Canis lupus familiaris: one gene and its partner. The protein of the gene in region 1 purifies or fractionates together with the protein of each later gene. This does not show direct contact. Links are inferred from orthologs where the notes say so. Each region holds a gene or a part of one and is shown on either strand. Other genes may lie near its edges.

The links.
Region 2: the proteins of CLCN4 (region 1) and TMEM9 purify together in Homo sapiens (co-immunoprecipitation; 3 studies listed by BioGRID and IntAct, with this or other methods). This does not show direct contact. The link is inferred for Canis lupus familiaris from reciprocal best matches to the Homo sapiens genes CLCN4 and TMEM9.

What each region holds. Positions count from the first base shown.
Region 1 is NC_049260.1:6,812,675-6,820,046, reverse strand, and holds the start of CLCN4 (H(+)/Cl(-) exchange transporter 4), read right to left. Parts: upstream 4,174-7,372; 5' UTR 4,025-4,173; intron 2,852-4,024; 5' UTR 2,594-2,851; coding exon 2,580-2,593; intron 1-2,579. UniProt on the Homo sapiens protein: Strongly outwardly rectifying, electrogenic H(+)/Cl(-)exchanger which mediates the exchange of chloride ions against protons.
Region 2 is NC_049228.1:1,846,863-1,853,374, forward strand, and holds the end of TMEM9 (proton-transporting V-type ATPase complex assembly regulator TMEM9), read left to right. Parts: intron 1-2,508; coding exon 2,509-2,658; 3' UTR 2,659-3,476; downstream 3,477-6,512. UniProt on the Homo sapiens protein: Transmembrane protein that binds to and facilitates the assembly of lysosomal proton-transporting V-type ATPase (v-ATPase), resulting in enhanced lysosomal acidification and trafficking.

The DNA of each region.
Region 1 (7,372 bases):
CAAATACCGCGGGGAATCAAGCTCGTAGAGAGCAGATTGGTGGTTGCCAAGGCAGGGGGTAGGCAGTGGGAGAAATAATTTTTTTTTATTTTTAATTGAAGCTTCAAGCATGGTTGGATCCAGGGACTTGAAAATAATTAATGAAAAATGAAGATCAGTTACCAGCTAGGTAATGAAAATTGCTAGCGAGCTCCTTGAGAATGAGTTCAGCCTGAAACCGTGCTGGCAAATCCGGTTCATCCCTGACTCCTCCACCAGCGGGAACTGCAGAGGCCCCCGCGATGGTTTAACCCCCTCTGGTGTGAGCAGGGTAGCTCCCCCAGGCCTTCAGGACCTGCTCAATTACTAAACATCGACTGATTTATTAAACAGTAACTAAATATTCCCGGTACCACGCCCAGAGCTGGAGATAGAGGAACGCACAATAAGCACACAAACCCGAGGCTTCGTGGACTTCCTATTCTATTTCTAGCAGGGAGAAACAGACTCGAAGCACCATAAATAAGTAAATTATTTAAAAATTTATAAAGAAGAAAGAAACCACAATGAGATGCCATAACTACCTACCAGAATGTTTAATTTTTTTTTTTAACAAAACTGACAATACTGAAGTGCTGGCAGGGAATCATTTATATACAATAAGACTCAGTCACCTAAAAAAAAAAAAAACACAAAGGGATAACCCCTATGTACCTACTAGCGGGGCTAACATTAAAGAAACAAACAAAACCAAGGTGCTGGCAAGGATCCTCAGCAACTGAAATTCTCATACATTGCTGGCAGAAATGCAAAATGGTACACCCACCTTGGAAAATAGCCTGGTATTTTCTTATATAAGCAGAATTCATAAAAACAAGACTATGCTAGCAAAGACACAGCTGTAGAGATACAGACACGAATGTATGGACATATATAGGCGAGGATATGGACAGAGGTACGATTTTGACATTTGGCTCTCTAGATCCAAGTATATGCAAGACTACGTCCCAATATCTTACCAGCTCGTTTTCTGACATAGCATTAATTTCTCAGAAACATTATTTTGATTTTAGCAAATGGTAAGTCTCTGACTTCACCCCATCCCCATCCCATTTTTCTTTGCTGACTTCACCCCCACCCCATCTCTAGCCCCATTTTTCTCTAAACAGGGTTCACATCCTCTCTTCTCCTTGATGTCTTCTGGATGGCAATCTTACAAAGTTCTAAGTTGGAAGAGAATTCTCCATCGTTTTTATAAGCCTTGCCTTACTCCGAAATTAATTGGAAATCAGTTAGAAAATAAAGCAGATGAACTCCAATAAAAAAATAATAATAAAAGGAAAAAATAAAAATAAATTTAAAATAAAATAAATTAAATAAATTTTTAAAAAAGAAAAGAAAGCAGAGAGAGAAGTATATAAATCCCCTCCTTAGAACCAAAGCTATCTGGGCTGCCTGACAGTAAGCCCACTGCAGGGGGTAAAGAATAAAAACCCTTCCTTATATTATCAACTAAAATAGCATTGCTTTTTAATACTGTCCTCCAACAGTTACTGGGGAATCAAATTATTCATGGTGTGTGTTCCAGCACAGTTTACTGATGCCCTAACTTCCAGGGGGGTCACGTTTTACAGAAAAGAACGTCACATTCTCCTCCCAAGGGTGCCCACCCGTGTCCTGGCCTCAGGTCCTATTTGAACCAGAGAAAGGAATGTGAACAGATTAGAATGCTTAACAGAGTCCATTACAATCCCACCCCCTGTCCGGCCAGAACTGAAAAGTCACCTGACCCCCTCCATCTGCCGCTGAGTCATCAAGCCCCTTCTTCAGCAAGCTAACTATTCAGCACGGGAATTAAAAAGAACACTGGGAATTCTTCCGTTTGGGTGTTCGCCTCCACCCCACCCCCTTCTAAAAACCATTTTGTCCTTAAGAGATGTAGCTGATCCGCTGTCTCTTACACTCGCAGTTAATCTTCGGGGCTTGCATTTTATTTTATGGATTTGATTGGATTGGATGCTGTCATTTTCTCATCTACTTAAGACACCTGGAGGGGGAGAAAATGCATTTCTGACACATCCCCTCTAAAGGTTGGAACCTTGCAAAACAACGCCAAACGACTTACACTGCACATCTAGCTCTTTAAATTGCTAACCAGTAAGTTCCCGTTCCATTCAGAGCAAAGCAGCTCTTGCTTTAGAAGAAATCGGGCTAAAGACTGAGGACAAACGTCCTGAAGGGGGAATCGGTAAAGGTGGCATTATTTAGGAAGCACAATGACAGCTGGAAAGCAGTTGACAGTTATCTTGGACCAGCCCGTTTCTCGCTTTATAATGCATGTGTGGGGATCATTCCGGTTTTTTTTTCTCGCCGGGGCAAGAGGCCCCGGTCTTCCCGTCTGGCCCCTGCCCACTTTCCCGGATGGGCACGCCAAGCCCGAAGTCACGCGTGGGCCTGCAACACCCCCGCCCCGCACCCCCGCCTGGTGCCTGCAGCAGCCGCAGCCGCCGAAGACCCCACTTTCGCTTTCTGGGGCGCCGACGGGCTGCGGGCCTGCAGGCCGGGGTGCGCCTGCAGCGTGGGCGCCGCGCGTCCCTTACCTGCAGTGCCGCATGGCGCATCCCCGCCGCCCACCTGCACGGCATCCTAGAGCATCCTTTCTTCGGCGCGACGGCTGCGAGCGCGGTGACGTCACCGGGGGCGGGCCCCACGCCGCCACGTGACGCCCTCGGGGCGAGGCGGGGAGGGGGTGGGGGGCGAGGAAGACCCTGGACGTCCGGGGAGGTGAGGAGCGAGCGGCCGGGGAGCCCCGCTCCCGCGCCCCTTCCGGGCAGCTCGCTTGAGGAGCGCGGCGTGCCTAGGCTTTCAGCAACTACGGGGAAACAAACGGCACAGAGGGCGAAATCCGAGTGATTACAGGCTCCGAGCACGTAATGGGATTTCAAAAGAGTTAGGGATTAGTAATGAAAGGGAACAATTTGGTGTTTTAGTTTTCAAAGTCTTTATGAGATGCAACGGAGAAACATATTTTGTGCAGATCCAAGTGACAGGTAAAATATAAAGTGTCTGGAAATACTCTGCATAGAGGTTCAGGGTTTCAAATCATGTAGCAAAGATACCAAATACTGTAATTTGAAGCATATTCCTTATGGACCATTAGGCTATTCGCACTGATGAATAATGCTTTTATTTACTCTCAACAGCTACTTTCTACTATTAAACTTGTATTTGCCAAAGGTAAAAAAAAGGGATGCCACATAGTCCTACTGCTTGTATTTATTTAAAATAAAGCACTAATGCATGAGCATGGTTGTACTCGTGTCAGTGGTTTTTTTTTTTAACGCTGTGGCCAGGAATTTGATGTCTCAGAGACATGAAAGAGTTAATTCATAATAACTCTGTAACATTGTTTCACGCTTTTTAATTTTTATCACATTCTGCAGAAGTGAGTCATCTTACTATTACAGAAAACACGCACGATGTCAACATTTCCCATTCACAACTCAAAGCCTTCCCTAGAAAGCCTTAGAAAATTCCAACAGTGGTCATGTCCATTTGAAATGGCATATTTCAAACGTAAGCAGTGAACCCAATGCAACTTTCTTCTGCCAAGCCATAGACACGGCTTTGAAATGTGAAAGGACAAGAGCAGAAACTGGTCGCGCTTGTATTCCAGTTTCATACACTGGTTCACTTTCGAGAGAGTTTCAATCACGATTTTTTACATGGCCTGGCCTCCTGGCCGCCGAAAGAGATGTGAAATAGGTTGTTTCGCAAGCAGCCAGGAGTTACCTACTTGCTATTTATTACGGCGGCTTTCGCGTCCTTCTATATTTAACCAGGGCCCTTTTCCCACCATTCCCTCCGGATTAAGCACATGTCCGCTCGGGAGGTCTCTAATTCGGGGCACGGATACGGGCCCTCTGCCCCTCGCAGCGATCTACCATCATTTTCTGCACCGGACTTCAAAAGCCAACAATGTGGCCGTGTGCTTTTTCTAGGTCACTCGTCCCAGGCTGATTTTTCTAGGTGGTGAGCGACTTACCCTCGCCTTTCCGGTTCCCGAGCTCTAAAGTTTCAAGCGCGACCGAAACCCCCGGCTCCCGGGGCTCAGGGTCTCGCGGAGGCGGAGCCCGAGCTGCGCGCTCTCCGGCCCCGGGCAGACGTCGGCCTGGCCCCGGCGCCCCGGGCGGCCCCGCCCCCGCCCCGCCCCGCCCCCGCCCCCGCCCCCGCCCCGCGGAGCCCGGCCGCGCCGTCACGTGCCGGGCCCCGCCGCTCGGCCCCGCCCCGCGCGGCCGCCGCTCGCCTCCCGGGGGGACCTGCCGCCGCGACCGGGGCGATCCGGGCGGCGGCGGCGACGGCGGGGGGAGGCGCCGTCCTCCCTGCGGGGCGCTGCTGCTTGCGGGTGGCTTAGCTTGGCCTCCTCTTGCAGGGCACGCTCAAGTGTGAAAAACCAGGAGTGCAGGCGGGCGGTTCAGGGAAGGCCTAAGACGGACGTGTCATTCCGCACGGCGTGTGGGGACTGCTGTCAGAGGTTCCAAATAGCCAGACTCAAACCCGTGAGTCAGCAGCGAGAGAGAGAGAGAGAGAGAGAGAGAGAGAGAGACGCAGACACAGAGACAGAGAGAAGGAAAGGAAAGGAACAAGAAAAGAAAAACAGGGAATAAAAAGAAAAATTACTGTGCACACACCAGAAGTTGGCAGACCCCGACACTCAGCCCGAAATGAGGCTCAAGGGTGCCCCTGTTAGTGACAAAGCTGCGACTGTTCATTCTTCGCACTGATTACTTACAATAATTACAATTTTCAGTGGTTACCAAGTCCTTTATCAACTTTGGGAAGCGTTCAAGGTTTGCTTCTCATTTCCAGACACGTGAGCAAGGAGTGACCAGGTCCTCTAAGCCTGGCAGCCGAAGCCGAATCAAGCCTCGCCTGCGTGACCAAACCGGGTCTTTCTGCTCAGGGACCCCGCAAGGTGGGACTCGCTTTGTTTCTCATTTTAACAGCCCCTCCCCACGTCTGGGCCCTTCTCTCAGCAGGCTCAGGGCATGACCAGCCTTCGTAGCATCCTCCTCCTCCTCGACGTGCTGGGTGCAGTCAGGCGGCAGGATCACACACTTGCTGTTTCCATTAGTTCAGTCATATGTAATGCACTACAAAGGTCAATATGATTATAGGGAAAACAACAGGCAAGGATTGAAAACTTCCCCAGAGCAGAGCTACCCGGGAGCCAAGGTTTCACCAACCAAATAAATCCCAATGGCTTATAATCAGATTCAGGTTTCACCTAAGTCGATCTACAAAAGAACTTTTAAGGTTATTTACACAGGCACAACATGATGTATCAGCAAACACGTAACCTCGTGATGGCCAAGGATGAACTTGAGGTTGTGTTTCAGGAGGCGGGCTTCCACCTGAATCAGGCTTCCATACAATGTGAGCAATCGGGTAATTTTATTTTTTTTAAAGATTTTATTCATTTATTCATGAGACACAAAGAGAGGGAGAGGCAGAGACACAGGCAGAGGGAGAAGCAGGCTCCATGCAGGGAGCCCAACGTGGGACTCGATCCCAGGTCTCCAGGATCATGCCCTGGGCCAAGGGCAGACGCTAAACCGCTGAGCCACCGAGGCCGCCCTAACCGGGTAATTTTAATGAGAGGCATTTCTATGGAAACAAAAGAAAAACATGAATAGTTCAAGCAAATTAGAAATTCCATTTTCTGAGTTTGCAGAGCGGTCAGTTGAGAAAATTTCTAAAAGTCGGATTCTAAGTATCTTTAGGCAGAGCACAAACAGTGCGGTCAGGCAATCAGATCGTCCTGTTCGCAGTGTCAGTGTCCCCCCGGTGATCTCTCTGAGTGGCTGCACAGCTGCAGGCACAAAGAGCCGCACATGGGCTGCTGTGATTTCTTTGAAGTTTTTATCAAGTTGTCCAGTTGCAGCCTGCATGGTTTCGGGGAAAAGGCAGGCTTAGCCTCAGAGTGATTCCAAGTGAAAATAGTGGGAGAAAATTGGAAATGCTAGGCTGCAGGGTTTTAGCCAAATATTGGAGGAAGTTAGAATTCAGGATCCACTCCAGTTTGCGGGTAGAAAATAAACCTCAGATGATCAACGGCACTAGAATCTAAAATCCACAAGGGTGTGTTACTGAAACATAATTTTCTCTCCATAATCATTTCCATCAAAGACAACCATGGCAAGACTAATTTGTTTTGCAAATTAAGTTGACTTTTAATAAACTTGGCCTGATTATTTCTGAGTGCAGCAAAAATAGTGATGGATCATGCTCTTTCAGATCCTTTTAAATCTGCAAACAAGACATTAACGAACCAGCAATATTTTAAGTGAAGTTATAAAAAATTCTAATTATCTTCATTACTTCCTTTGGTCTCCTGTAATTAATTCTTGTTGATCTCGATCTTTTGTTCTTTGATGAATTCATCACTTTTCCACGAAAGCTTTAGAAATTCTTACCCAGTTCAGTGTCAAGATCTTAAGGTCAGCAGAGACCTGTATCCATAGGGTGCTTGTCAGGGTCTTTTTCATGAATCTCCTCAAAGATAAAGCACTTTTGCAGGAACATTTTGGCAAAAGCATCAGAATAAAACAATGACTACCTGTGAATGACAAAAGACTTAAAAACTGGCAATGGCTAAAGATCAGATGAGAATTCATTATAATGCAATTGACAAGAAAATTTGGTTATTTCTTCAACATGCAGCATTTTAAGACAATGACCGGAATTATGGCTGATAACACTATGTCAGTACATCAGATTCTCATGAATTTCATATAATTTCTGGAATGTTTACATTAATAACTTCCATATAAATATCTCCTAAAGAAAGCTTAGCATCACTTCTTATTTTACAATGCATCCCGTGAAATTTAACATAACACTAAAAACTTATTTGAGTGGGATTCCCTGGGTGGCTCAGCGGTTAAGTGCCTGCCTTTGGCCCAGGGTGTGATCCTGGGGACTGGGGATTGAGTCCCATGTAGGGCTCCCTGCAAGGAGCCTGCTTCTCCCTCTGCCTGTGTCTCTGCCTCTCTCTGTGTCTCTCATGAATAAATAAATAAAATCTTTTAAAAATGTAAAAATAAAATTTTAAAAACCTATTTGAAAAAACTTAGCTTTTTACATAAGTTTGCTTAAGTAAACCTGATAAAGACAAAACACAGAATCTTTGTTTTCTAGGCAGGTTACATTGAAGGTAAAGAAAAACCTTTGTTTGCAATTTCTTATTAAGTGCAGACCGAAAAACAAAAAACAAAAAAGAGCAGACCAATAACTAAGAAAACTTTGTCCTTTGAACAGAGAGAAAACCAAATTCTAATTTTGCACCACTGTACTTTTGATATTAAATTTCTCCCCTTTTTTTTCTTTTTAA
Region 2 (6,512 bases), on another chromosome or scaffold:
TACCTTTTAATCGGACTATTAGCAGTGGAAACACGGAGCCTCTCAGCAGCAGCTTTCCCCCACTTAGGAGCTGCTTGTTAAGACTTTACATGAAGGGGAAACAAATGATATGTGGTCCTGCGGTGAACTTCGGCGTGTTCCTTAATGCTCTGCTCTTGGCTTCCTCTGCCTTCCCCTCCTCAAAGTGCTCCCTGGAGCTGCCGAGCCGTCGGGAGACGCAGGGCTGAGGCTGGCGCGTCCCTCCAGGCCTGCCCCCGGGGCTCAGCCTGGCACTGCGGCTGGGCCGGCCGGGACCAGATGAGAGGCGGGGGGAGGACAAGGCCCTTCGGCCATGAAGCCAGGACAGCGCCAGGCCCGGGTGGGTCTTCAGTGCCCGCCGCGCCTACACGGCCGCCCGCCCCGAGGCCTGTCCTTGGCCCGCTGTAGCGCCCAGCTGGCGCAGCCGAGCCAGGAAGGAGCGGAATCGAAAGGTAGCGACATGGGGCCATGGTCGCTTCTCCGAGGCAGCTCCCTGCGGCAGCAGGCTGCCAGCTGTCTCCCCCTTTCTCCTGCCTGGTGGGCCCCACAGCTGGCCCCTGACGCGACTAATTGCTGCTGCGAGTCGAACGCTTGCCGCCGGCCCGGCGCTGCGGAAGGCTCTGCTCGGGTGTCTCGCTGAGAGGCCGCTCTTGCGGTCCCCGTCCTACGGCAGGGACGTAGGCTCAGACGAGCTAGCTTTGCCCAGGGTCACTTCCAGGAGGCGTTGGAGCCAAGGTGCGGAGCAGGTGCGTTTGACGCCCCGGTGCTCTGAACCGCGGAGCTGAACCACCAGGGAAGGAGGAGCCGGGGACGTTTCTCGAGCTCCTCGTCCGTGAAGGCCAGCGTGCGAGGAGCTTCACACGGGGCGCTTTGCTTCACCTCGCCACTCCCATCTCCTGAATCCCGAACCATGTTTTTCAAAGCGTGGGTCACCAGCCGTCAAGTCGTGAAATCAGTGTCGTGAGTCATGACTAGCGTTTTAAATACTTCCGCAGAGCAGGGGACATCAGCGGCCTCAGGCCAAGTGTCTTACACGACGGTTCTTTTATGTGTGTGCACGTGTCTGTGCACACGCACTGGGTCATCGGGTACTTGCAATTCCTGCCGACAGGACAGTCAAAACCATCTAAGACTGGCTTTATTCAGCTCACGTTTGCAGAAATAGCCACTTGTCCAGGGACCTAAAGCCGTTGGGTCCTAAGGCGGTGCCTCTGTCCCAGCTCCCAGCTGGGCTCCGAGCCGGATCCCCTGGGGGCCGTGGGTGGAGGATCAGAGGCCCCTCGGAGCCCAGGCCCGGAACCCAGGAGTCCTGACCTTGGGCTCGGTGCACTCCCTGCCTAACACTGCCCGCACCCGCCTCCCCGGTGTCGCCGCCGCCATCCCCAGCTGGGCGGACCGGGAAGCCGTCCTGGGGGGGTCCTGGCCCGGGGCTCCCCGGGAGGCAGTGGCCCTCATGAGACAGTGACTCAGAGCTCGCTGCAGCCCTGCCCTACCCCCCAGCCTCACCCCCAGCCGGCCACCTCTCTGTACCTGCCAGCTCGCTCTCCCCTACTCTCGCCTAACCGCCCCTCCCGGCTCCCCAGCCTGGCAGCTGCAGGGCGACAGAAGCTGTGCCAGCGCGGGGCATTAGAAGCAAAGTTGCATTTACTGGGCGGCTCTGGGCTTAGAGAGGTGCGCTAATCCCTTAAGAGATGTGTGGCAGGAGATGAGAGGCAGGGAGAGCGAGGGAGGAAATCCCCACGGGGGTGTGGGCCTGGCCCTCGGCTCTAATTCCCCCCAAAGATCAGGTTGGGGTCCCGCAGGAAATGCACGGGCTCCGGAGCTTCAGAGGCAGAGAGGTGGTAATTAGGGGAGCTGCTGCCTCCGACAACAGAAGCGGTTCCGCGGGCGGAGGGGAAGGGGCTCCGTGGGGCACACGGAGAATTGCTGAGCTACCCTCGCCTGTCCGCGGGCGGTGGGCCAGGCAGGCTCCGGGCCGGGAGTGCTGGGAGTGGACCCCGAGGTTCCATCCCTGCCCGACTCCCTTGGGGCAGAAGGGAGGGACATCCGTTCCTTCCCGGGGACAGTGGGCCCATGTTCCCCGCAGGCACACACTCACTCTGGGCCTTCCTGCTGTCCCTGGGCGGTGGCAGGCAGGGTGAAGGCGTTCCGGGGTGCCCTGGGGCGCACAGATGCCTTCCCTGAAGCCATGGACGGCGCCAGGGCCTCTGCGCTGACCCAGTGAGGTCCTGAGGCTGCAACTCAGTATTCATCCTGAGGGTCGGAAATAGGCCAGCGGGCTGCGGCCTCGTGGTCACTAGGGCCCCAGATGGCACTCCTCCCCCAGGCCCCACCCTACGCAGTCTCCGGATGCTGAGCAGCGCCCCCAGCCTCCCACATGGGGGAACTCAGCCTTGGGGTTTGCCCCAGGGCATCCTTTGTGTGTGGGGTTTCAGGCCCCCGCCCTGGCCCGCGGTGCTGACTCTTCTCCCCCTTTTCTCCCCCCTACAGGATGCTCGCTCTATGGCAGCCGCTGCCTCCCTTGGGGGCCCTCGAGCAAACACCGTCCTGGAGCGGGTGGAGGGCGCTCAGCAGCGGTGGAAGCTGCAGGTGCAGGAGCAGCGGAAGACCGTCTTCGATCGGCACAAGATGCTCAGCTAGACGGGCCGGGGAGCTTGGGCTCAAGGACCAGGGCCCACGGCTTCCAGCTCCTGGGGCTGCCCCCCCCCCCAGTACCGCCCCCCACCAGGACTTCTCTTGAGAAGCCCGAGGCCTTCTCCCTTTCCCTCTCCTTAGCTAGTTGAATCCGGGAAGAGTGGTAGGGTCCCTGCTCAAGGCTTTGGGCTCGAGGGGAGGGGGTGGCGACCCTGCGGGTGGCCTCGGGATTGAGGCAGTCTGCACCTCCTTCCTTCACCCTTCCCGCCTTCCGGCTCCAGATCTCGGGAGCGCTCTTCCCCTTGCCAGGTGCAGCTGGGTCACCGGGAGCTCCGTGCGCAGGAGGAAGGCAGTCAGCATGTGCTCCTCTTCTGCCGTAGCTCTTACGGCCGCCTTCCCCCCAGCGCAGCCTGGTTCCGGCCCCCAGGGTAGCTCTGATGGGACAGCTGATGCCACCGAGCTGCTCCCTGTGGTCGGGGCCCACCCGGGCGCTTGGCTCCCCGCCCCCTCCCCCACACTCTCCCACCAGCATGGGGCAGTGCCGCGCCCCTCGCTTCCTGCAGCACCTGGCCCCTCACTCCGGCCCCCAGGGCCAGGCCGTCCCCCGCCTCCCCGTGTCTGCCGCTGCTGAGCCGACACTTGGTGGGACCACGCGACTGAGAGGCTGAGCGGTGGCTCTGAGTTCCATGGCTCCTGTCCTGGGATTGCCACTCGCCTGATTTCATTGCACCGGTGCATGGAGAGAAACGTTTGTCCTCCTGTTGTCTGTAAACCAAGGAAGCCATCATTAAACTGTCTTATTTCTCCCACTTTCTAGACTTCAAGAGATCTAGAGAGCTTAGTGTTTCACTGCATCCCAGGGAGGGGACCGAGAACAACCCTAATAGGTCCGGCTGAGCAGCAGGGCCCAGACTGACCGGGTGGCTGTGGTAGGGCCCACAGGGGTGGGGGCCGGGGAGAGGGACGGGCTCCTCACAAGCTCTGTCCACTGGCCCCCGGGAATGACCCTGAGATCTTGTGCTTCATCTTTGTGGGAGACTCTGAACGGTGCCCAGTGTCAGCATCTTCACAGATAAAGTAAAAAGTGCTCACTGCAAAACCCGAAAGTTTTCCCTAACGAAAACCCGCGGCTACTCAGAGGGCTGGGGCAGCAGGGAGACGCAGGTGTGTGCGCCGCCACGGGCCATGCCCTCCACCCTGTCCCAGCACATGCCCAGAGGGACCAGCTGGAGCGAATTGAAGTTGCTGCCCCCTGGGGTTGTGCGAGCAAACTGGTGTTAAGCAGCCTGTGTGGAGCCCCTGCTGGGTTCTCAGTGAGAGGTGGGGGCCGGGAGGACAACGGGAGGAGGTGGGCATTTCCGTTGCCCCAGTTCAAAGCCCAGTTCTAAAGGGGACGGGGGTGGGGGGGTTGACGTGCAGATGGGGTTCCGGAGAAGTACTGCGGAGACTTGGGAGTCGGCCTCGGAAGCAAGCAAGGGACACAGCTGGGAAGGGCCCAGAACGATTCTGGGATCCTGCGCAGAAGGGCCGGGCCAGTGTGAACGTTTATGGGGGGTTGGCAGGTGCTACGTGTGCCACGGATGGAGTCCGGGTGGAGGAGCCGGCCTGGCAGCTGTGCGTCTGCCCCCTTCGCTTGCCTGGTGGTGCCCGCTCGGCAATTCGGTTGTAATTCTTTCACAGCGGGGATGCTCTTGCTTCAGGAGGCGCACAGGGCCGTCTGGTGGCTCAGTCGGCTAAGTGGCTGCCTTCGGCTCAGGTCGTGACATCGTGGTCTTGGGATCGAGCCTCCGAGGGCCCCACACCGGGGTGCCTGCTCAACGGGGAGTCTGCTGCTCCCACCCCCACCCCCCCACCCCCCCCATGCACACCCATGCTCTGTCTCTCTCTCAAATACAATCTTTAAAATAATGATTTTTTTTTAAAGGCAGGCAAAATTGGGTCTTTTCAAAGGTGGGCAGACGGGTGTGTCATTGAGAACAAACCAGTCCACAAATTGGTGCCTGACGCTGCTGGGTCACCACTAAACCACGCCAACTGGAGGAAACCTTGCGCACTCGCGCCTGAGTCTTGGTTAAGCCCCACAGATGACCCACCCAGTCCTTGGTGGTTTTAAAGATCTGATACGAAGCAAGCAGCTGTCCTCAGAAGTAAGCCAAGTATATGAAGATAAATTAATGTAAAAACTCAGGGTGACCGTTCACTCTACCTAAGAATTCAAGTAGTAGCCAAACAGCTACACAAAATCGATTTTTAGACGACTATTCCGGGGTGTACGTCACCTGCGGATGACGAGAGAACAGGGAGCCCAGCAGAGGGAGACATGGTGCAGGGATGAAGGCCTGCACGGCCCGGGATGGAGAAGATGAGAAGCTACTCCATCCCGTCCCCCTGGGGAGACCTGAACGTCCGTGGGCTCAGGAGCCCTGTGTCCCCCGTCTAACCCACCAGACGTGCTGTTCTGTGATGGGTCGGACCCGCCTGCAAGACACCGTTGGGCTGGGCCCTGGGACTCGAGCCTCAGAGCTGGTCACCGCCGCTTGAGGCTAGCACCCGTGCCCGTGTGGCTCAAAGGGAAGTGGCGCAGGGAAAGGACCGGGAGAGGCCATGGAGTCTCCACGCCTCCCTCGGACCCACTCCCTCTCGCACGTGCTCTTGTTCCCTCGCGTCCTCCCTACGGCTCACCAGCAAGCCCCCAGCCGTCCTGGGCAGCTCTGCTCTCCTAGGAGGGACTAGAGGTTTGCAGTTTCCACCCCATCTCCTCCCTCCCTGTAGGGGTGGGGGTGCCATCCTTGTGCCTCGCTCTTTCTGGAGGTCACTAGGCAACCTTCCTCTATTTGCCCTCCCCACCCCCACCCCCCAAACCCTACCAAATCTTACCTTCCTACTTCAAGAAAATCAAGGCGGGTAGATGTGATCTCCAAGCTTGCTTATCTGCCTCTGTGCGTTTTTCTTCCTACTTCTCTTGGCCTCCTTGCTGTGCTCTGGGGTTAGTGCATCCCCCCTGTTCTAAGCCAACTCACCCACCCCCTTCTTCCTGGGACCTCTAGGGTCTCCCAGCCTCGCCCTGTCCCCTGGTCCTTCTCAGCCTATTAACAGGTTCAGGTCTCCTGCCCTATAAAGAAATTTCATGGGCCCCCGCGTCCACCTCCGACCACCGTGGAGTCTTCTACCTGTCTACACTCCCTCCACCTTCCCTTTCCGTCCTTGACCCCAAGCCCTCCGGGGGTAGGGTCGTTGATGACTGTAGTTGCCATGTCCTTGGTTCTTACCTTCCCGCCCCTCTGGTGTGTGATCCTTCCTCCTCCATGGAATTCTCCACTTCCGGGACCTTGCCTCTTTGGTCCCCCCTGCCCTTTCTGGCCATCCCTTCACGTCTCCCTATTTGCTGTTTCTCAGGCTTCCATGGCTCAACCTAGTACTTAATATCTAAGTACTTTCCCTGAAAGTCCGTTCTTTGTGATTTTCTGATACTGACTCTAGACTCTCTGTCCCCAGCCCAGACCCAACCCTGGAGCTCCAGGCTCGTCTGCCTGGCTCTCAGCCGGACCCTCCCATTGGGTGCCTCAAACCTGTCAAAATACACATGTCCAAGATTAAGCTCACCTTTAATTGGCTTTTATATTCGTTATCTGAGTTGGTGGTTCTCCCGCCCACCAACTTGTTCAAACCAGAAACCCAGAGGTCATTCAATTCTTGATTCTTCCTTTTTCTGCAGTGCTTAGGCCCAGTCACTCAAAAAGTCCCAACTTCTTGACTTTCAAGTACAGCTGACGCTCAAAGCAACAGTTTGAACTGCACGGGCTCACCTATATGTGGATTTTTTACAGCACAGTACTATCAGTGTATTTTCGTTGTGATTT